Arabidopsis thaliana: one gene and its partners. The protein of the gene in region 3 interacts with the protein of the main gene of each other region in a pairwise test. Each region holds a gene or a part of one and is shown on either strand. Other genes may lie near its edges.

The links.
Region 1: the proteins of UBC18 (region 3) and AT5G19430 interact in a two-hybrid assay, tested with the Arabidopsis thaliana proteins (one large-scale study listed by BioGRID).
Region 2: the proteins of UBC18 (region 3) and AT1G28120 interact in a two-hybrid assay, tested with the Arabidopsis thaliana proteins (one large-scale study listed by BioGRID).

What each region holds. Positions count from the first base shown.
Region 1 is NC_003076.8:6,550,022-6,556,454, reverse strand, and holds AT5G19430 (RING/U-box superfamily protein), read right to left. Parts: upstream 2,753-6,433; 5' UTR 2,458-2,752; coding exon of another isoform or gene 2,383-2,457; 5' UTR 2,319-2,382; coding exon 2,241-2,318; coding exon of another isoform or gene 2,213-2,240; exon of another isoform or gene 1,948-2,212; coding exon 1,817-1,947; intron 1,523-1,816; coding exon 1,418-1,522; intron 1,296-1,417; coding exon 839-1,295; 3' UTR 501-838; downstream 1-500. Other genes in the region: AT5G19420 (Regulator of chromosome condensation (RCC1) family with FYVE zinc finger domain-containing protein), read left to right, coding at 3,474-3,502, 3,597-3,660, 3,822-3,902, 4,085-4,171, 4,321-4,410, 4,902-4,982, 5,104-5,298, 5,370-6,433.
Region 2 is NC_003070.9:9,811,739-9,818,454, forward strand, and holds AT1G28120 (ubiquitin thioesterase otubain-like protein), read right to left. Parts: upstream 3,823-6,716; 5' UTR 3,655-3,822; intron 3,453-3,654; 5' UTR 3,406-3,452; coding exon 3,250-3,405; intron 3,120-3,249; coding exon 3,054-3,119; intron 2,975-3,053; coding exon 2,891-2,974; intron 2,758-2,890; coding exon 2,635-2,757; intron 2,538-2,634; coding exon 2,485-2,537; intron 2,339-2,484; coding exon 2,289-2,338; intron 2,216-2,288; coding exon 2,115-2,215; intron 1,851-2,114; coding exon 1,587-1,850; intron 1,505-1,586; coding exon 1,481-1,504; 3' UTR 1,192-1,480; downstream 1-1,191. UniProt on the Arabidopsis thaliana protein: Hydrolase that can remove conjugated ubiquitin from proteins in vitro and may therefore play an important regulatory role at the level of protein turnover by preventing degradation.
Region 3 is NC_003076.8:17,242,334-17,248,713, reverse strand, and holds UBC18 (ubiquitin-conjugating enzyme 18), read left to right. Parts: upstream 1-2,725; 5' UTR 2,726-2,809; coding exon 2,810-2,839; intron 2,840-2,923; coding exon 2,924-3,027; intron 3,028-3,114; coding exon 3,115-3,217; intron 3,218-3,437; coding exon 3,438-3,501; intron 3,502-4,218; coding exon 4,219-4,307; intron 4,308-4,412; coding exon 4,413-4,508; 3' UTR 4,509-4,727; downstream 4,728-6,380. Other genes in the region: RPT4A (regulatory particle triple-A ATPase 4A), read left to right, coding at 77-151; AT5G43000 (uncharacterized protein), read left to right, coding at 1,512-2,360; TRX3 (thioredoxin 3), read right to left, coding at 4,996-5,142, 5,241-5,363, 5,856-5,942. UniProt on the Arabidopsis thaliana protein: Accepts the ubiquitin from the E1 complex and catalyzes its covalent attachment to other proteins.

The DNA of each region.
Region 1 (6,433 bases), about 11 Mb from region 3:
AAGTGGAGGGACCAAATGACGAATGCGTATATTTGGGTGATTTCTTTGCCCTCTTTAAAGACTTTTTTGATATTTTTCCTTTTGCGTGGTTTGCACAATGGTTAGGTGGAAAAGAGACACACGTTGTTGAGTAGTCAATTCCAATTTCACTTCAAACTCAATAGTCAATTCATTTTAAAACAGAAAAGAACATTATAATACTTCAAAAGATAAAATCATATATCCAAAATCCTCTAATATAATATTTGCGTAGTTTGGCCGAAAATTTTACAACAATAAAGCAAAATTTAGAAATTGTTTTACAACAACATTTTTTAAATAGAATTTATACCATATGCTATCATGAAAAAAGAATGTATAAAAAGACTTTGATTTTGGCAAATATGAATACTATAGGTTTCGTATTTTTGTAACTTGCATTGGATCTACCCCTTGTTGTGCCATAAAGTTGGGCAAACTTAGTATCCAAAGCTCACCGACCAACTCAGACAACGAATCCATAAAAAGAAGTTGTCTTTCTTCTTCATCTAGACATATTTTTACATATTCAGTATTCACACCAAGAAAATCAAAAGCTACACTACTTTCTCATCTGATCAATGATTAGAAACATAACAAGATTTAATGAACAGAGTAATATGATAGCCAATGGTTGTCCAAGTATTGTATGAGACAATGAGTCACAACTTCTTGTTTCTACCATTCCAAACCCCACACCATTATATAGTGGTCTGACAGGGATTAATCACAACATTAAAAACTACTTGCTGTACAGATGATACTAAGTAATGGAAGTAGGTGGAAGCTTTTTGAGTGCAATTTATTTACAGATACACACTCACTTCCTTCCCAACCTAACCAAATGGGCCTCGTGCTTTGCTGCTGCAGTTACTTCCGCTGCTTTGTTTGCAGCTTCACGCTTCATTGCCCTTTTTGCACGTCTTCCTGTTGTGTTTGTCGTCTTCACCTGCTTATCCTTAGGCTCACTTGAGGATGACCCAGAGCTGGAACTGGAACTAGAACCAGAACCACTGTATCTCTGGACAGGCCTGGCTTCTTGACGCCCGGATCTGACAAAACCATTGCCACCCCATCTCCGATTTCCTATGCGAAGACTTGAGCCGTGCAGATAAAACTCGTCAAGGTCATCATCTTCATCCTCGTAGTCATAAGGAATGTCAAAATCATCATGGTAACCATGGCTGTACGACGCCTGTTCCACCACATCCAATGGTACAAACCATGAGGCTCTAAGGAGAAGGCACACACTCTCCTCAAACAGAAAATCTTCAATGCTGCATAGAAATACAAAAGAGAATTTATACAACCAAACAAGAATAAGAAAAAGAGTTTGATCAAGCAAATGGAGTAATCGACTAATATATACACAAAATTGTAAATAAAGAAGGGAAGTCACCTGCCATCAAGTGCTCGGTGGACACTGAGAAAATCAAATGGATGCTTACATTGTGGGCATGTGGGACTCTCTTTGCAACTCGCCCAACGAAGTATGCATGTCACACTAAATAGATAGAAATGAATTACTCCTCTTAAAACCCAAAGTAGAAAGAAAGTCAGTTACCACGTAGGCATAAAAGCAAACACAGAAGATAAAAGGTGATCACGAGTTTACAGGTTAAACCTAAAACCAAGTTCCACAACTGAAAACTTGTGAGAAGAAAACAAAATTCATTTGACGAAATCAATATGTTCATACTACAGTACAGACTAAACTTTGTAACTAATAAAATATAGATGTAACCAAATCAGATATATATCATCTAAAAGAAACAAAGAGAAGAAACAACAGTATTACCAGTAAGTGTGTTCACAGCCTTTGACCATAGCAGTTTCTTGAAGAGGAATTTCACTCAAACATATTGCACAACAGCCACCATGATTCCCGAAACTCGGCTCATGGATCTCTTCCTGGATCTTCTTTTTGTCCTGAGAGAGAGGTTCAGATAAAATCTCTTAAATCACCTCCACATGCAGAGAACACACAACATCATCTTAAAGAGTTATGTTTAGATGTAAGAACAAGAGACCTAAGTTCTGTGAAAGTTATGAAGAGAAAAAGAAAGCAGATTCATAAACAATATCAGTAGCAAATTCAGCAACAGTCAACTTCACATTGTAAACCTGAAGAGCCCTAATCGTCCAATTCGAAATTAAACACATAATAACGCACAAAATCAAAAATTTACGAAACCCTAATATTGTGGAGCAAGGCTAGATACATTTCCACATAGAAGCAGAAGCATCATGGACAGAATCAGCTCCAACTCCGAAACAAGACCGACACACAAAGCAAACATATTTAAAATTTGAAAATTTTCATCAAGAGACGAGAATATGAATTGAATAAGGGTAACAAAGAACCTGATTTTGAAGGGCCAAATCCTGAATACCGTCGATCACTTGCTGCTCAGACACGATCTCGGTAACGGAACTCATGGCGGCGAAATTAGATAGAAAAAACGAAAGATTTGGTAGTTGAAGAAAGAAGATGTTCTTCTGAAATCTGTTCGTCAAGATTAAGGAGCCCGGATTAGAGAGAGTGGCTGTGGGACAGCGAACCACCGAGACGAGAAAAGGAGATATGCTAAGAGAATGATTCCCGATACCTCAAGAACTAACAACAAAGCACACAAGAGACAAAACAGAACCCGAACCTTCTTCCTCCACCAGAAGTTCTAACCTGTCCTATAGAATTGCGACAGATCAGTACACTCAAAACGACATGTTACAGATCATAAAGCAATTTTTAAAATGTCAAGATTTATAACTTTTGAAGAAAATACATTACATCATAGTCATAGAGTATCCATTACAAATAACATAATTATGTGTGGTATTTAATTTGCATGACATCTTCTATTGAATCATTCTTCTTTAATTAGGTGGTAGGTATTTAAATTCTTTAAAGTCCCATCATTAGAAAAATTTAAACCAAAAAAAAAAAAGAGCAAATGTATACACGAAAGTAATATTCGAAAAAAGCTTGCTGAAAAAACAGATATTCGCAAAAAGCCTTCCACATTACTAGTCACAGAAATACAAAATGTTTAAGGAGAGTAAATTAATTGGGAGTGTACAGTGGTATATCCCGTAATTAAGGAGAATAATGACGGGTTTTATATATCTAAAAAATCAATAGAAAGCAGAAAAAAAGAAGAAGTATAGCTTTCTCTAGTCAGAATCTGCCTTTTGGTCTCTTTCTTCTCTCTCGCTCGCTCGCTTTAAGCTGCGTAGTATAGATCATGCCATGTCTCTCTAGCTAGATTCTCTGTGTTTCAATTCCTCTCGAAGAGTTTAATTCAGCATCCAGAAGAACATATTTGAATCCTTTTACATTTGATTGAAACGGCGCTTTTTGTTCTACTGTTTGGATCGATTTGAATCTAAATTGGAGCTGAAGAAGCTGCTCTGGCTTCGAATTTGAATCCAAGATCGACGATCAAAGTGATGTGATGTGGAGTGGATTTCGTGATTGCACGAGGTCTATTGATTTGAGCTTGACGACTAGTGTGAATTTTTTTTGAGGTTTTCTCGGCTCAAGGGGTTTGCTACTGAGGAATTTTGTTTATGTCGAGGAACGGACGAATGACGCCGTCGGATCTTAGTAGAGCCGGTCCAGTGACGAGGGATATTGAGCAGGTTTTTTTTGGTCTTGTTTATGATTCCAATTCTACTGAATTGTTAGGTTTTCTGTGGAACAAATCCTTTGTTAGGAAGGTTAAGAGAAGGTTATTTTCTTAGGCGTGGCTTAAACTTTGAAAATTAGATTTGGGATTCTTGGTTAGTGTGACTGGTTTTAGCTAAAGATTGAGCTCTATTCCACTTTTGGAGTCTCCAAGCTTGACTCTAGCTATATATTGGAGAACAAAAATGCACTTCATGTTTTTTTCCTAGCAGTTAATCTATTTTAGGTGCAATTTCTCAGGATATAGTTATTGCTCATCTCTATTTAAGACCATTTCAGTTTTATTATATAGCTGTATCTAAAGCTGAAATCACCCCTTGCCAATATACTTCACCTGCTTTATTTACGGAAACTATTTTTTTTTATCAATTGGCTCAGGCTATCACTGCTCTTAAAAAAGGAGCTTATTTGCTTAAGTATGGCAGAAGGGGAAAGCCTAAGTTCTGTCCATTTCGCCTTTCGAATGTAAGTTGTGTTGATATCATTTTCTTTTACTCTTATGTAAGAGTCTGTAGAGTCCTTTTGTTTCGTTATATTTTCTCTCTGCTGCTTCCTGCTGTGTGCAGCTTCTTGTTGTTCTGTGTCAAGTAAATAGTCTGTCCTGTAACTTTCAGGATGAATCTGTTTTGATATGGTTTTCTGGGAAGGAGGAAAAACATTTGAAGCTAAGTCATGTTTCCAGGATCATCTCTGGGCAGCGCACTGTAAGTTTTGACATCCGTAGACATGTCATTTAATCTTTCCTTAAGCTGGCTATTAAATGTTCAGAATAAGTTCGTTAGACTAGTATTATCCATTTTTCGATGCGTTTATATGGTTGGATATCTGATAAGAGTATCTTCTTCTGGTTGTGTCTGAGCTCTACTGTCATGATTGTGAGTAGGATGGCCTCCTAATGTGATCTGAATTGTTGTTTATGATTTTTCCAAGTGGTGTATGTTATGCACAAGGCTCTTTTCTTAGAGTCGTTTTATCAACATAAACTCAAATGAAGATTACGTGCTTATGCTATGTTTGATTGGATTCATCATTTTTTTTCATTTCACTTCAGCGTGGCAGGTCAATCTTGATTTGACTTTGCATGTTTCATGCATCATTTGCATGAGCCAGTTTCCATAGTCGTAGGTTGCATATTTGGACCTTGCATATCTAGTGTGATATTCTGACAAGTCTTGCAATGGTGTTTCTCTTGCAGCCTATTTTTCAGAGATATCCACGTCCTGAGAAGGAATATCAATCGTTCTCGCTAATATATGACGAGAGGTCACTGGATTTGGTGAGCTTTTTCTTATAGTATATTCTTTTCCTAATTTCCTCTATGAAATCATTATTCCATCATTTAAATGCCTGTTATTATTGAAAGTTCATTAATTAGGTGTCAGAATTTCATTTCATAGATATGCAAGGATAAAGATGAGGCTGAAGTGTGGTTTAGTGGTCTAAAAGCCTTGATATCCCGTTGTCATCAACGGAAATGGAGGACCGAATCGAGAAGTGATGGAACGCCATCCGAAGCTAATAGTCCGAGAACATATACCCGGAGAAGCTCCCCTTTACATTCTCCATTTAGTAGCAATGAAAGTTTCCAGAAGGTACTAGAATGAAATATTCCAATTCATTTTGTGCATTACTTAACTAAGGTAATATTTCTCTTACCTTTCAGGAGGGCTCAAATCACCTTCGTCTTCACAGTCCATATGAGAGCCCGCCTAAGAATGGCGTTGACAAGGCATTTTCAGACATGTCGTTGTATGCAGTTCCTCCAAAAGGTTTTTTCCCCCCAGGTTCGGCAACTATGTCAGTTCACTCTTTGTCATCTGGAGGCTCAGATACGCTACATGGTCACATGAAAGGAATGGGTATGGATGCTTTTAGAGTTAGTCTGTCAAGTGCGATTAGTTCGTCGAGCCATGGTTCTGGTCATGATGATGGAGACACATTGGGAGACGTTTTCATGTGGGGAGAAGGAATAGGCGAAGGTGTTTTGGGTGGTGGAAACCACAGAGTTGGAAGTTCGTTGGAGATCAAAATGGATTCCTTACTGCCAAAAGCTTTAGAGTCTACTATAGTACTTGATGTCCAGAATATTGCTTGCGGTGGACAACATGCTGTCCTTGTAACAAAACAAGGAGAAAGTTTTTCTTGGGGAGAGGAATCTGAAGGTAGGCTTGGCCATGGTGTGGATTCCAATGTTCAACATCCAAAGCTCATTGATGCCCTCAATACCACAAATATTGAGCTTGTAGCATGTGGTGAATACCATAGTTGTGCAGTTACTCTATCGGGGGATTTGTATACCTGGGGTAAAGGAGATTTTGGTATTCTGGGACATGGAAATGAAGTCAGTCACTGGGTCCCCAAAAGAGTAAATTTTCTGATGGAAGGGATACATGTATCATCCATCGCTTGTGGGCCTTACCACACAGCTGTTGTGACTTCCGCTGGGCAGTTGTTTACTTTTGGTGATGGGACCTTTGGTGTTTTGGGCCATGGAGACAGGAAAAGTGTTTTCATACCTAGAGAGGTAGACTCCTTGAAAGGTCTTCGCACTGTTCGGGCAGCCTGTGGTGTATGGCACACAGCCGCAGTTGTAGAAGTCATGGTTGGGAGCTCGAGCTCTAGTAACTGCTCTTCAGGAAAGCTCTTTACATGGGGTGATGGTGACAAGAGTCGTCTTGGTCATGGTGACAAAGAACCAAAACTTGTGCCTACCTGTGTTGCAGCTCT
Region 2 (6,716 bases), on a different chromosome or scaffold from region 3:
TTCTCTACAGTATAGTCTTTAGATGGTTGTGACAAAAAGGAAAATAAATACGGATTGACACTAACACTTAGAGCATGTCCATTGCAGGGACCTTACAAGTTTCTTAAGAGAATCCTAATGAAAAGAAGCAAAAAAATAAATCAAAATTGACTAATTAACCAAGGTGCGAACCTTGAATAAGGTATTTTTGGGTGAGTAAGGTTCGCTGACGTGGCACTATATCATTGGAGGACCAATAAAACAAAACAAGTTTTTTTCCTTTTTTCTTTCTCTCCTCTCTCTTGGTTTCGTATAGAGTTTCTGAGCTTTGGTTTATGTTCAAATTTGTGTTTGATCTGTTGGTTTTTAAGATAAAAATGTGACCCTTTTGCTGCTTATTCACTTCTCATTAGCATTACAACGGATTGGTGACACAAAATAATTGGTTCTAGGTTTATGTTTATGCTCTTTTGTTTGCTCATTTAGTTGATGTTATCAAATAATTGGTTCTAGGTACGTGCTTTCATTTAAGTTCATGACAGTGTCTTGAGCTGGAGATAGATTATTCTATGTTCTTCCTTTGGTGACAATTTCATTAATAGACCTCTCATCTCGGACTTTAGTTTCCTCTTGGAAGCCTTTTGATTTGTATTCTTTTTTTCTTTTTTTTTGCTTTTATGTCATCATATATGTTTACAATTTGTAATATTTTCTAATAACTTTTAAGTTTTATCAAATAAATTATTTTAAAAATATTTTTGCTTTTTAAAGAAATTTTCATAAGGACTCCACCATTGGATAACAAAAAATTTAGAGACTCAACAAAAACTCTAAACTTTAAAATTACCAAAATATATTATTAAAAAATGTTAAGGATTTTTTATAAGGATTCAATCAATGGGCATGCTCTTATCTTTTGGTTTCTTCTTGTTACATCGTTTTTGGGGGTTCCAAATATTTACAAGACTTAATATAATCCATTTAGACTGCTCAAAACCACTATCCACCATGAGCCAACTCGTGTAGCCCGCATTATTTTAGCATCAACATTTGTAGCCTTAACTCGTCTCATGGTAGGGTAATTTATGCCCAATCCACGGGTTCTCGACCCAATCGACACTCAAAAATAATAGTCCAAAGGGTTTGCATTTCTTTGTCGTCACTTTTCTATATTTTAAAAAAATATTCAAGTTTAAGATTTTAGTCAGGCCATTAAAACAAACTTAGAACTCTGCCATTGGTAATATCGAAAACCCTTTGATTCCACTTGCTCATCAGAAATATCATAAAGGATATTATCATGATTCATGAAAAATACAAGGCAATATCAAAGTAAAGAGACGGTCCATTCTATAGTGTTGCAAAAAGGGTTCTTTTATCATAATCAAAATGCAAATCGATGGGGTAATTGTTGATTGTTCCATGGTTTCATCCACATGAATCCATATTACCACAGTTTTTTGTAAACGTCTCCTAATGCGATTTACGATATGTCAAATGATCATTTCCCCACATTGTCTGATACCTGTAACAACACAATCATTAAATTTAATCCACGTCGAATCTAAAAGGAAGAGAGGTCATATGGCGATTTCGTGTTTATATACCTTACAAGATGGCTTGGGGTAGAGGATATCGTAATGGCCTGGACGATACAGCAAGGTTATAAATGGAGCAGAAGCTTCTTCATCTTTCTCATTGGTAATGCCCACAGGAACAAAGTCATGATGATTCACAGTGACGCCCCCACTATCACATGAGCTACGGTCAAGATACACAACACGGATTGCAACACCAAGTGCGTCCGACAAAGCAGTTATGTGAATATGGTCACTCTCTTCCCCCATTGGTTCGACCGAGGACTTGCAAAACTATAACAATGTAGTGTTAATATCTTGCATTCACCTATGCTCTAATAATCTATGAGGAGGTATTCAGAACTTTCAACAGAATCTTTAGTTTAAACATAAGTGCAAGAGACTTAACGTCTCACAACGCTGACTAATCAGAGATAAAGCAAGCAAGTTTGGAAGGACATTAAAATTGACAGAGATATCACAGAGACGGAAAAATAAAATTTCAAACATATCACCAAATGGCCTGAATTCCAAAACAGAGTAAGCGTGTGTACAAACCTGATCCACTGTTGCATTTGATAAGCCTGTTATAAAAGGCTCGAAAAAATCGGCACGCGTTCGTATATCACCAGCAGTAACAAACCTAAAGAACATTACAACTGAGACAACAAAAATTTGTCAAAACTATGTACCATTGGATATGCATCGCCAGAGAAAATTAGAGTAACTTACTGTAATCTGAGACTGACTGATCTCTACTTCTGTTAACCAGCTCATCGTAGCTGTAAGAGAAAGATATTTGCAAAAAGGATGAGATACAACGAGAAGAGACTTGTGCCATTTCATGAAAGTCAGAACTTATCCACACGAAAACAGAAATCAAAATTAAATGCCAATTAAAAAGCCATCTGGATAAACAGTTCTCTACCTTATAGACTCTTCAGTTCCTTGGAGAATGTCATCTAGTTGCTCAAGGAACAACTGTATTTTCAAGAAAGATGAAATTGAGTATTGGTGGTGATCTTACCAGATTTAAAAAGCAGACACAATAGAAAACAGAAAAAGGTGGTCGATTTACCGCAAAGAAGTCCTCAAATGTAAAATCTGTATAACCTAAGTTTTGCAGAGTCTTTCTACATTTCTCAACATTGACCTTGATACGATCGACTTCAGCACGATCTTGTGATTCCAATATATGCTCCTACGAAACAAAGCAGAGAAAACAACAGCAACTTTAACTAAAGATACAATCCACGTCTAACCAAAATAACAAAGTTCAAAACCAACTACACAAACAAGAGCTAGGCAAAATAGAAGACATTCTGAGAACATACAAGGTAAGAGAACATAAAACTTCGGAAGAAGCAATTTCCATCTCCTCTTGTTCGCCGGATTCCGATATATTGACTGTCCAGTATCTACAAGCATTGCAAACATGATAATTCAAAAAGACTGAAAGCAACAAACCACGAAAAAGATAACAGAGCAGAAAGTAACCTTAATCTTCTCCAGCAAAATGGGACTCCCTGATTGATACTCTGCAGCTAAACTAGACAGAGGTTCCTGCACATCATTGAACCAAAACAATCAACCTTTTTAACTTCTTTCGATAAATAAACAGAGCAAGATAACACGTAGAAGCCAAAAAACGAATAATATGAAACAGAAGATCAATTTTAATATTGGCTCTGACCTTATCACCAACATAAGGAACTTTAGCAGCTTCTTCTTCTTGAAAAGATGGTTGATCTTCCACTGATGAACAATTTCCCCATTCTTCACCCTTAATTGCTGAAATCGATGCAGCTACTTCCGCTTCATCCTTCACCATATCAATCTGATTCTGCATCTTCACTACTTCACTAAACTCTCTTCCTAGCTTATTATTAGCTTGATCTACAAACACACAATTCAAATCCGATTTGAAACAAACGACTCAAGATTCTATCAACTGATCCTCAATTCAACGATAATTCAATCTGAATACTGATAACGAGTTTGTTGATCAACAATTCACAAATCTGACAATCAAACAAATACGAATCCAAGAATCTTAAGATAAGGAGAGAAACGGGGAAATCGATGGCGGAGGATTTACCAGAAACGAAGATCGATTGAAGAAAAGATTGGATTGTGAATAATTGAGATCGTTTGCGACCTAAATTGAAGCAGGTTGGGACTTGGGAACCAACACTAAGCAATGGGGAAGGAGGAAGAGTGATGATGATGAAAAAGATTTCTCAAATCGGGGAAACCATCAATTTTGATTGGAGGGGTATAAATGGTAAGATACGTTTCGCTTTTTCCCAAAGTACTTAATTTTTTATATTTAATTTTTTATTTTTCTCTACACGAATCAGGAAAAAAGTCGAATCGTTTTTGGACCATAAAAAGTTAAAATGACGGTAGAGCTTAAAATGGGCCTAAATATTTTGGCCCAACAATAATCTGAACTTTGCTTAGTCACTAGAGTTTTGTTTTCTTTTTCTTTACAAACTGACCATAAACAAAGTGAATCAAAACTACCTAATTTATTAAGATAAACGATTTGTTTGTTTATCAAAACTACGTAATTTATCAAGATAAACAATAAACAAAGGAGATGACAAAAAAAAAAAAAAAATTAACAAAGGAAGTTTACCAAAAAGTATTTCAATAGTAAAAAATGATTTTAAAACAAAATAAAAATTGACAAATAAAAACATTAACTAATTAAACACTTCAAATTTTAGAAAGAGATCCATCAAGCCAAGAGTACAAATATTTGTCTTAAAATAAGAAGTCGAAAGAGTTGAATAACCATTCATATTATTTTTTAATATTTGAGATAAATAAGTTGGAAAACTCATTCAACACATTTAACCAAAAACAATACAAAAAATAATATATATATATATAGAAAATTTGTTCAACTTATCCTACTATATTATTTGGGAAGTACATTTTAAATGTAACCTTAACTTTTATAAGTAATTACATAGGTATGCCATTAGAAATAAAATTTTAAAGAGTAAATTAATTTATCTCTTTAAGGATTAAAAAGTCAAATACTAATTTAATTAATTAAATTTAATTAAAAAACGAAATATATTATTATTTTCCAAAAATAATAACCAATCAAAATCAACATATAAGATTTGATATCTAAATTTTAATTAATTTAATTTAATTAGAAAAACGAAATACATTATTAATTTCCAAAAAAGTAACCAATTAAAATCAACAAATTAGATTTGATATCTAAATTATCATATTAATTTTTTATTAATTATTATAGTTCACTTCTCATCTTTATATGATTCTATTTTTGCCGAAAAATAATATCATCATTATAAAAAAATAATTAGAGTTTTTTCGCATATGCCATATTTTGAATTTTTAAAAACGAATATAAACTATTCAATACATGAAAAAATATTATAACGGAAGAAAAATAGATTTAAGAAAACTTTCTACTGAGTAACGGATCATAATTTGAAATATTTCTATTCAATTTCACACATATTATAATGAAAATTTATAATCTTATATACTACAGTAATTAATAACATATTAGATGTGATTCAATTTTTAATACAAGCTGAAAAATCCTAGAATTGACGGGTTTAGATCGATATTAATACAAGATGATATACTACATGTGAAACTCTTAAATTAACAATCAAACTACAAGTGTATAATCTTAAACACTAAACAATATAGATAATATCAACAAAATATATACAACTCACAGATTACTATACATTTAAAATCAAATAAAATAATATCATATATATTTAAATCATCTTTACAATAAAAGTTTTTAGTTTAACTAAAGTATAAGCCTACCTGCGGTATACTGCAGGTTAATAACTAGATTATAGGGCTTATTGGATCTAAAGACGGGTCATCAAAGATTTCCTAAACTGAAGCAAAATATACTGAATATTCAAATATCTATCTGTTACCAAATTATAAACAAATAAGTTCGTAAAACAATTTAATATTTTATATACGAAATCAATTAAATCTTAATCACATAAAAATTAGCACAAAAAAAAGTATTCAATAATTAAAAAATTATCAAATCTCTGTGTTATATAAGTTTTGATACTATATTCGAATAAAGTGTAATATACCTTTTCAATTTGTATTATTTAACTAATTTAAGCTAACTAATATAGTTGCTAATCTTATACCTATCAAAACCGACTATCGTTTCTTATCTCTATAGTATTTTTGCAAGATTTTTTTGGTGGATTTGGATAAAAGTGCATTCGGGTCATATGGTACAGTCTCCTATTAAATAAATATGGTGCACTCATTTGTTATTAGCTAAAATATTTAGATTATAATTCAGAGTCATATCATTAATAAAATAAATGGCTTTTTGGCAAGACGGATTTGGATGGACGGGTTTTTGAATCAACATTAATAAAAAAGTAAAATATAATTAATCCACAATTTCAATACGGATTAAATCTTTAATTTATTATATTTTAAGACCACTAATATTAAACATATCAAATCATCCTAATTTAGAAAAGGTTATATAAAACCAAAAATGTTATGTGGTATGTATAATGTTATTATATATAAAATTAAACTATAAAATATAAATGTATTAGAAAATGATACAATTTGCAAAACTTTTATATATAAAAAATAATTCTTAAATTTTAAAAATTACTATTTTAAAAAAAATTACGGGACGGGTAAAAAAATTACAGAACGGGTTTTATTTTGGAATTGGGTTATATGGTAGATGTATTTGAATCAATATTTATAAAATTTTAAAATATGTTTAATATGCTGTTTTAATAGGGGTTAAAACTTCAAATTTTTAACAATTGTCTCATGGATTCGTGGTATAGCGTTACTTAATAACAATTATAAACTGTAAAATATAAATATTTTATAAAATTAAAATTTACAAGTTTTAATATATATTACTTTAAAAAAATAAATTGTCCCGCGGTATATCGCGGGTTAAAATCTAGTTCATCTACTATTTTGTAGAGGAATGAGCAGAATAATGTCCAATTTTTTGTTCAGATTAATTTTTTCCAATCATTTATCTACATGCAACTATTTGCACCTTTTTTTTTCTACGTAATTATATGCTATGTTCAACAGTCTATCAAATATCAAAAGAAACGTGAAGACTAGAAGTTTTCGGTC
Region 3 (6,380 bases):
ATATATTATGCATGAGAATAGGTTAAATCATGTTGTAATCTTGGTTGTGATATGGAAATGAACCAACTTTTTGCAGGCGGTGAGAAAGCTGAGTGAGGCCAAGAAACTGGAGTCCAGTTCGCACTATAACGCTGATTTTGGAAAAGAGTGAGAGAGTACACACTCTTTCTTGTGCTTTAGGGATGAAGAAAGGACATTGCAATGACTGTCTCGTATTCTTTATTAGCAATGTGAAACTTGTTTTTTTAACTCTTTCAAAAGCAAAGCTTGTTGTGAAGTGTGTGCTTAGTTACTACGTTTCAGTAATTTAGTGCTTCAAACAAGCATTTACCTCTTTTCTCGTTGGTACTGTGGCTTAAATATTGTTGCTTCTGGACCCTGATTAACATCAATTAGTCCAAATCAAAAGAATTGCAAACATCAACTGAACCAATTATTTCAGTCAAATAGTATGAAACAAACAAAAATTTCTTAAACATCTCTATAGTACACGTTAATATATTTTGTTCATTAAATCTTACTTGGATCAGTTCAAATAAAATCGGACTTTTACACTGGATACTTCTGTATTTAACAATATAAATATTCATAAGATTTGGTTAAGATTTAAAACTTTGAATCTCTTATCATTTTTGTTTGATTTTGTTTTAACTGTTTTAAACCATCATATAGTATATAAAGTTAAGAAAAAACTTTTTTTTCTACATATATTGTGATTCGAAATTTTGAAAACGGACATATATTAATTGATAAACGAAAAATATATGGATTTAAGCTAAAATGTTTAAATCTGATGACAAGAAAAAGAAAAAAAAAAGCTAACATGTTTAGGGGATGATTCAAAATCATATCATAAATAAGATCAACATTAATAAAATAATTTTTGAGTGGGACGTGTTTGACGGTATCTTACTTAATAACAATTGTAAACTATAAAATATAAATATTTTATAAATAAAAACAATTTGCAAACTTTTATATATACTAACTTTAGGAAAAAAAATTGTCTCACTCATGATGTACCTTTATTATAAAAACATAAAATTAATTAAGTAATGATATTTTCGATTTTTTTCTAGCGCAATAAGAATAGAATTACCGTAAAAAAATAAAAATAAGATTAGGATTAAATTAGCTAGGACAACTTTTTCAAAAAGAAAATTAACATGCCGAAATCATGAACGTCGTAAATCATCAAACAGCTAGGATTCGTTGTATCATACACTTAAAATGATTAGAGAGTTGATCTATTACTCTAGAGTTTACTTGCAATGATCTCAAACATAAAAATATTAAAACGTTTATTTGATTCCCTATGCAATGAAAAGTGAAGATCTTTATGATTAGCACGGAATTTTCCAAGCTTAACTTTTGACTTTTGTCTCCCTAATCATTCATTAATAACCACTTCATGTCTTTATAAAAAGCACCCCGTACGAAGTTCTTCACTCAAAGCTCCTCATACCATAGTATATTTTGAGCTTTCTAATCACATAGTAATAATTTTGAAAATGGCGATCCTAACTCCCGTCATTAAACTCGTTGTTTTTAGGCAAAGTCTACGACCACATTCTGCTATTGCATTCCTCGTTGAGTTTCTTTGCTTCGTCTTAGAATTACTCGACAAGGAGAAAGATCTAGCCAAAATATTCGGTATCGTATGTGCTTGCGACACATTAATCTTCACTTTGCTCGATCTTATCCAAAGTTTGATCGAGGAAGAAGTGAAAATACAAAGATGCGGCCGAGTGTTTTGGCTTTACACAAACGATGGGAGCCTCTATTGGCACACATTAAACGCATATCTTTTGATGTTATGCATTGTCCACGTCATCGGTTCCACGATCTCTTACGTTTCTCATAAACATTATCTAGTCTTGCTCCCGCTTTTCGCAGCCGGACTCGAACTCGTCCCACAAGAAGCCTATCGAGTTCTTGGACCGGATCAAGAGTCTGGAAATTCTATTGAGCCTCTTAATGGTCCATTAAATGGTATTGAGCTTGAACAAGGAATGGTTGTTCATGTTGAGCCTCTTCAAGAGCCACTAGATGGTATTGAGCTAGAGCAAGAACTCGTCCCACAAGAAACCAATCGGGTTCTTGGACCGGACCAAGAGTCACAAAACTGTATCGGGGCTCTTAATGACCCATCAGATGGAAAAGACCAAAACCTTCAAGATGATATTGTGCTAGATCAAGAGTCACAAGATTGTATTATTGCACCTCATCAATGTCCATTAGATGGTATTGACCTACAACAAGAAACGGTAGTTCACGTTGAGCCTCTTCAAGACCCACTAGATGGTATTGAGCTAGAGCAAGAAGTGGCTATTCATGTTGGGCCAAATGATGACCCATAAACTATTAGAAGCCTACTATAGAATGAAAGCTGAAACATTATATAGATGGAGACGTATGTTTAATGTAATGTACTTTGTCTTAAAAACTTATGTACTTATGATCGTACGACTTTGGTAGCTACAATGTAAGAGAATCTTTGTTACAAAAAAAAATCTATAAATAAAATCGACTCTTCAATGTCCCGTGGAGTCAGTGAAGGATAAACGACACGTGTGAACACGAAGGAAGATTAATAGCCGTCCGATGAAAATGGTTAATTTTGTAATTTTGACTCTTTCACGTGTGCCCTTTCCTCACCCCGAAAAATATTTTTATTTCCTTTTGTTTACACTTTTTGATTTCATTTTCAATAATAATAATATTCGAGTAGAAGAAGAAAGATCCAGACAAAAGCTTAAGCAAGACCTCTCTGTCTTCGTCTCTCTCTCTCTCTCTCTTTGTCTCCGCCATGACAAGCTCTTCATCTCCTTCACGCAAGGTTCTTAGATTCTCTCACTCTTGTCTTCTTATGTGTTTTTTGATTCTCCGATTGTGATTTTTTGAATTTTTGAGATTTGTGTAGGCGTTAAGCAAGATCGCGTGTAATAGGTTACAAAAGGAGTTATCAGAGTGGCAAGTAAATCCACCGACTGGGTTTAAGCACAGAGTTACTGATAATCTTCAAAAGTAATTTTCATTTCAAAATCTTTCCTTTTTTTGATTATTTATCATTTCGATTTTTGATTGTTTTTTTTGTTTTTGTGTGATTTAAAGATGGGTAATTGAGGTAACAGGAGCACCTGGTACGCTTTACGCTAATGAAACTTATAATCTTCAGGTTGAGTTTCCTCAACATTATCCTATGGAAGCTCCTCAGGCAAGTTTTTCATTGTGTTGGTTTTGTTCTGAAAAATTTGTTGTTTTTGATTAAGGGTTTATTTCAAATTTCTTAATTGTGGATTAATTAACTGAAACCAGAGTGTTTTTATGGTTGTATTGCATGTTTTAGGTCAGAGAATTAGTTTGAGATATAGTGACATTTTCTCTACTTGGTTTTGTGCTGTGTTCTGATTTTCATGTGTTTGGTTTTTGATCAGGTGATTTTTGTTCCACCAGCACCGTTACATCCTCATATTTACAGCAATGGACATATTTGTTTAGGTAATTTTACTCATTGTTTCTACACTACTTACTCTTTGCATTTGCTCTTACTTTTTGGTTTCTCTGAAATGCTAGCTCAAGTCATGTGTGTGTCAATCAAATTAGTTTATCTGTTTGATACTTACATATATAGGTTGTTCTTGTTCACGGAATGTAATGTAGCGAAAAGAGAAGCAATGTTAGTAACAATACCCTTAAGAGTCCTAATATATTATATCAACATTGTTACCAGTCTTAACCTTTTTCTCAGTCTGTCTCATTCTTAAAGAGTTCCTAATACTAGCGTCGCATGACATGAAATTAGGTGTGAATGTGTTATCAACGCCATAAAGAAAACCAATACCGTCCCTTTTGGACTCTATGGTGAATTCTTTAGCAAAATCAGAATCTGATCCATGATTATAACAGCCTCTCAATTTCTAGTTATATTGAAACTCCCTTTGGAATGTTGATCAAATAACTTGAAACTCCCATTTGAGTTAAAATCAAATAACACATTTTAGTTTTGCTGTTTTCACTAAACAATAAGAACATGAAAGTTTTATGTAAATTTCTTAAATCTGTTCTCAATGCATCTAAATCCGGTCTAATGAAATCGTGGTGGAACTGAACCATTTGTTACAATACATAATCACGATTATACCCGGCCTCATTTTAGGAGAAAGTCCATTAGGATTATGCGCTTAATATAACACACTCTCTAATTCCTTTTTGTAGATATTCTGTATGACTCATGGTCTCCAGCAATGACAGTGAGTTCAGTCTGCATCAGCATCCTCTCAATGCTATCAAGTTCCCCCGAAAAGGTTTCTACATTTGATCTCTCACACTTTGTATTGTTGTCACAAATTCAAACTTTTTGACCCTGCCACACAACTCTTACTATGTCTTATTGTCGATGACAATATCAGCAACGCCCGACTGATAACGATCGATATGTGAAGAACTGCAAGAACGGGAGGTCTCCTAAAGAGACAAGGTGGTGGTTCCATGACGACAAGGTTTAATGATGACGACCGTAAGATGTCTCTCCTTTCAGTTACAAAAGAGGTTTATATAATTTCCCAAGACTGATAATACTAATTGAAATTCCTCATGGCCTCCCACTTTTTTTTCTGTAACGGATCATTATGTATAAATGACATCTGAAATGTTTCAGTGTCTGAATTAACACCTTGTGCTTTTGTCCTTTCTGAAGTGAAAAACCATGGAGAGTTTAGGCAAAACGAAATTGTATTTGGCAATGTAATTGGATTGATAACTAGTTGGTGTAATGTAATTGAAAATTGAAAAACTAACATAACAATAGAATCCCCAAAGAGTAAACATAACCATGAACGAACAATTAGCATAGCTGCGAGTAATCAAGTTTGCAACAACATTTATTCACCACCACACATAAGAGCACATTTAAGGTGAAAAGACTCGGGCGAACAAAGGATTTATTAAAACACCAAACATATTTTAGCAAAATAGGTAAGAGAGAAAAGCAAATCAAGCAGCAGCAACAACTGTCTTGTGCTTCTCGAGATTGGCAATGATTTCTTCTTTAGCAGCACCAACCACAGTCTCCTTGATCTCTCCTTCTTTCATGAAGATAAACGTTGGCATTGCCTGAACTTTAAACTCCTCAGCAACAGTCTGCACAACAACATAACAAGCAAGATAAAGGCTCAGAGAAGTCAAAAATCCCTAAGTTTGGATATTGGGATAGTGTAAGATTGATGAAGGAAACTCACGTTCAATTCGTCAACATCGACCTTGAAGAAGACTACGTCGAGGTGCTTCTTGGCTAAGTCAGCAAAGACGGGTGCAATGAAACGGCAAGGTGGGCACCATGTTGCAGTGAAGTCTATCACAATCTGTGTCATTTCCACACAACCATATTTAAGAAAACAAGCTACACCGATCGATAATTCAAACAATAGATACGACATCGGTTCATCATTAAGATAACAAATGTATGCATTTCATGTGCTTCACAGAACATGGATAATAATACAAACATAGATACAAAATGGGTTCACTAAAGACAATTTTCATGTGATCTCTAGCAGATGATTCATAAAATTGAATATGCATAGTTGAGAGATTCACATAACATGTTTTTATCCAATGATGCTTCTATCAAGTTCTTAGGGTTTCAATTTCTGAGATTCTGGGTTCCTAAACAATCAATTAAACTATTAGGGTTCATAAATTTGACATTAAGGAGCTCAAAAATTCGATTGGGGACAATTCAAACCTAATTCTGAATCCGTCATATTCTAATCAAAAGGACCAAGATCAGAAACGATAAAGCAGCGAAATCAATCAGAAAGAAACATTTAAAACCTTAGATCGAGAGTTTTTACCAGTTTCTTGGATTCGTTGGCGGCTTTGAGCTTCTCGGTCCAATCTTCAACGGTGTGGCAAGCGATAACTTCTCCTTCTGCGGCCATTTTCTCTTCTCTGTGTTTGATTTTTGATTTGATGAGTTTTCGAGTGATTATTCTTCTTCGTCTCTGTGTCGGTTCTTATAGAGAGAAGGAGGCGGAGAGAATCTTACATCTTTTTATTATATTTTAATGCAAATGGAATAATAATAATAATTAATAAAACATGTTGTCAAATAGGAAAAGAATTAATACTCAAATTAAAAAAATGGACCAAACCACGCGGAGGAATTCGATGCCGGATTTGTTGATCTAACGGTTGAGATTGAAGAATTGCAAATCGGATTCAGCTTCTGAGGACGCGTGTAATTTATGCTCATTGAAAATAGAAGAAATTGATATATTTAGTCAAAAAGGTTATGAGATTTGAGTATTTCTTTTTATTTTTTATTTTTTTTTTGTTGGTCACATTGAATATTATTGCCTTTGGTAGTTCAGTCCTAT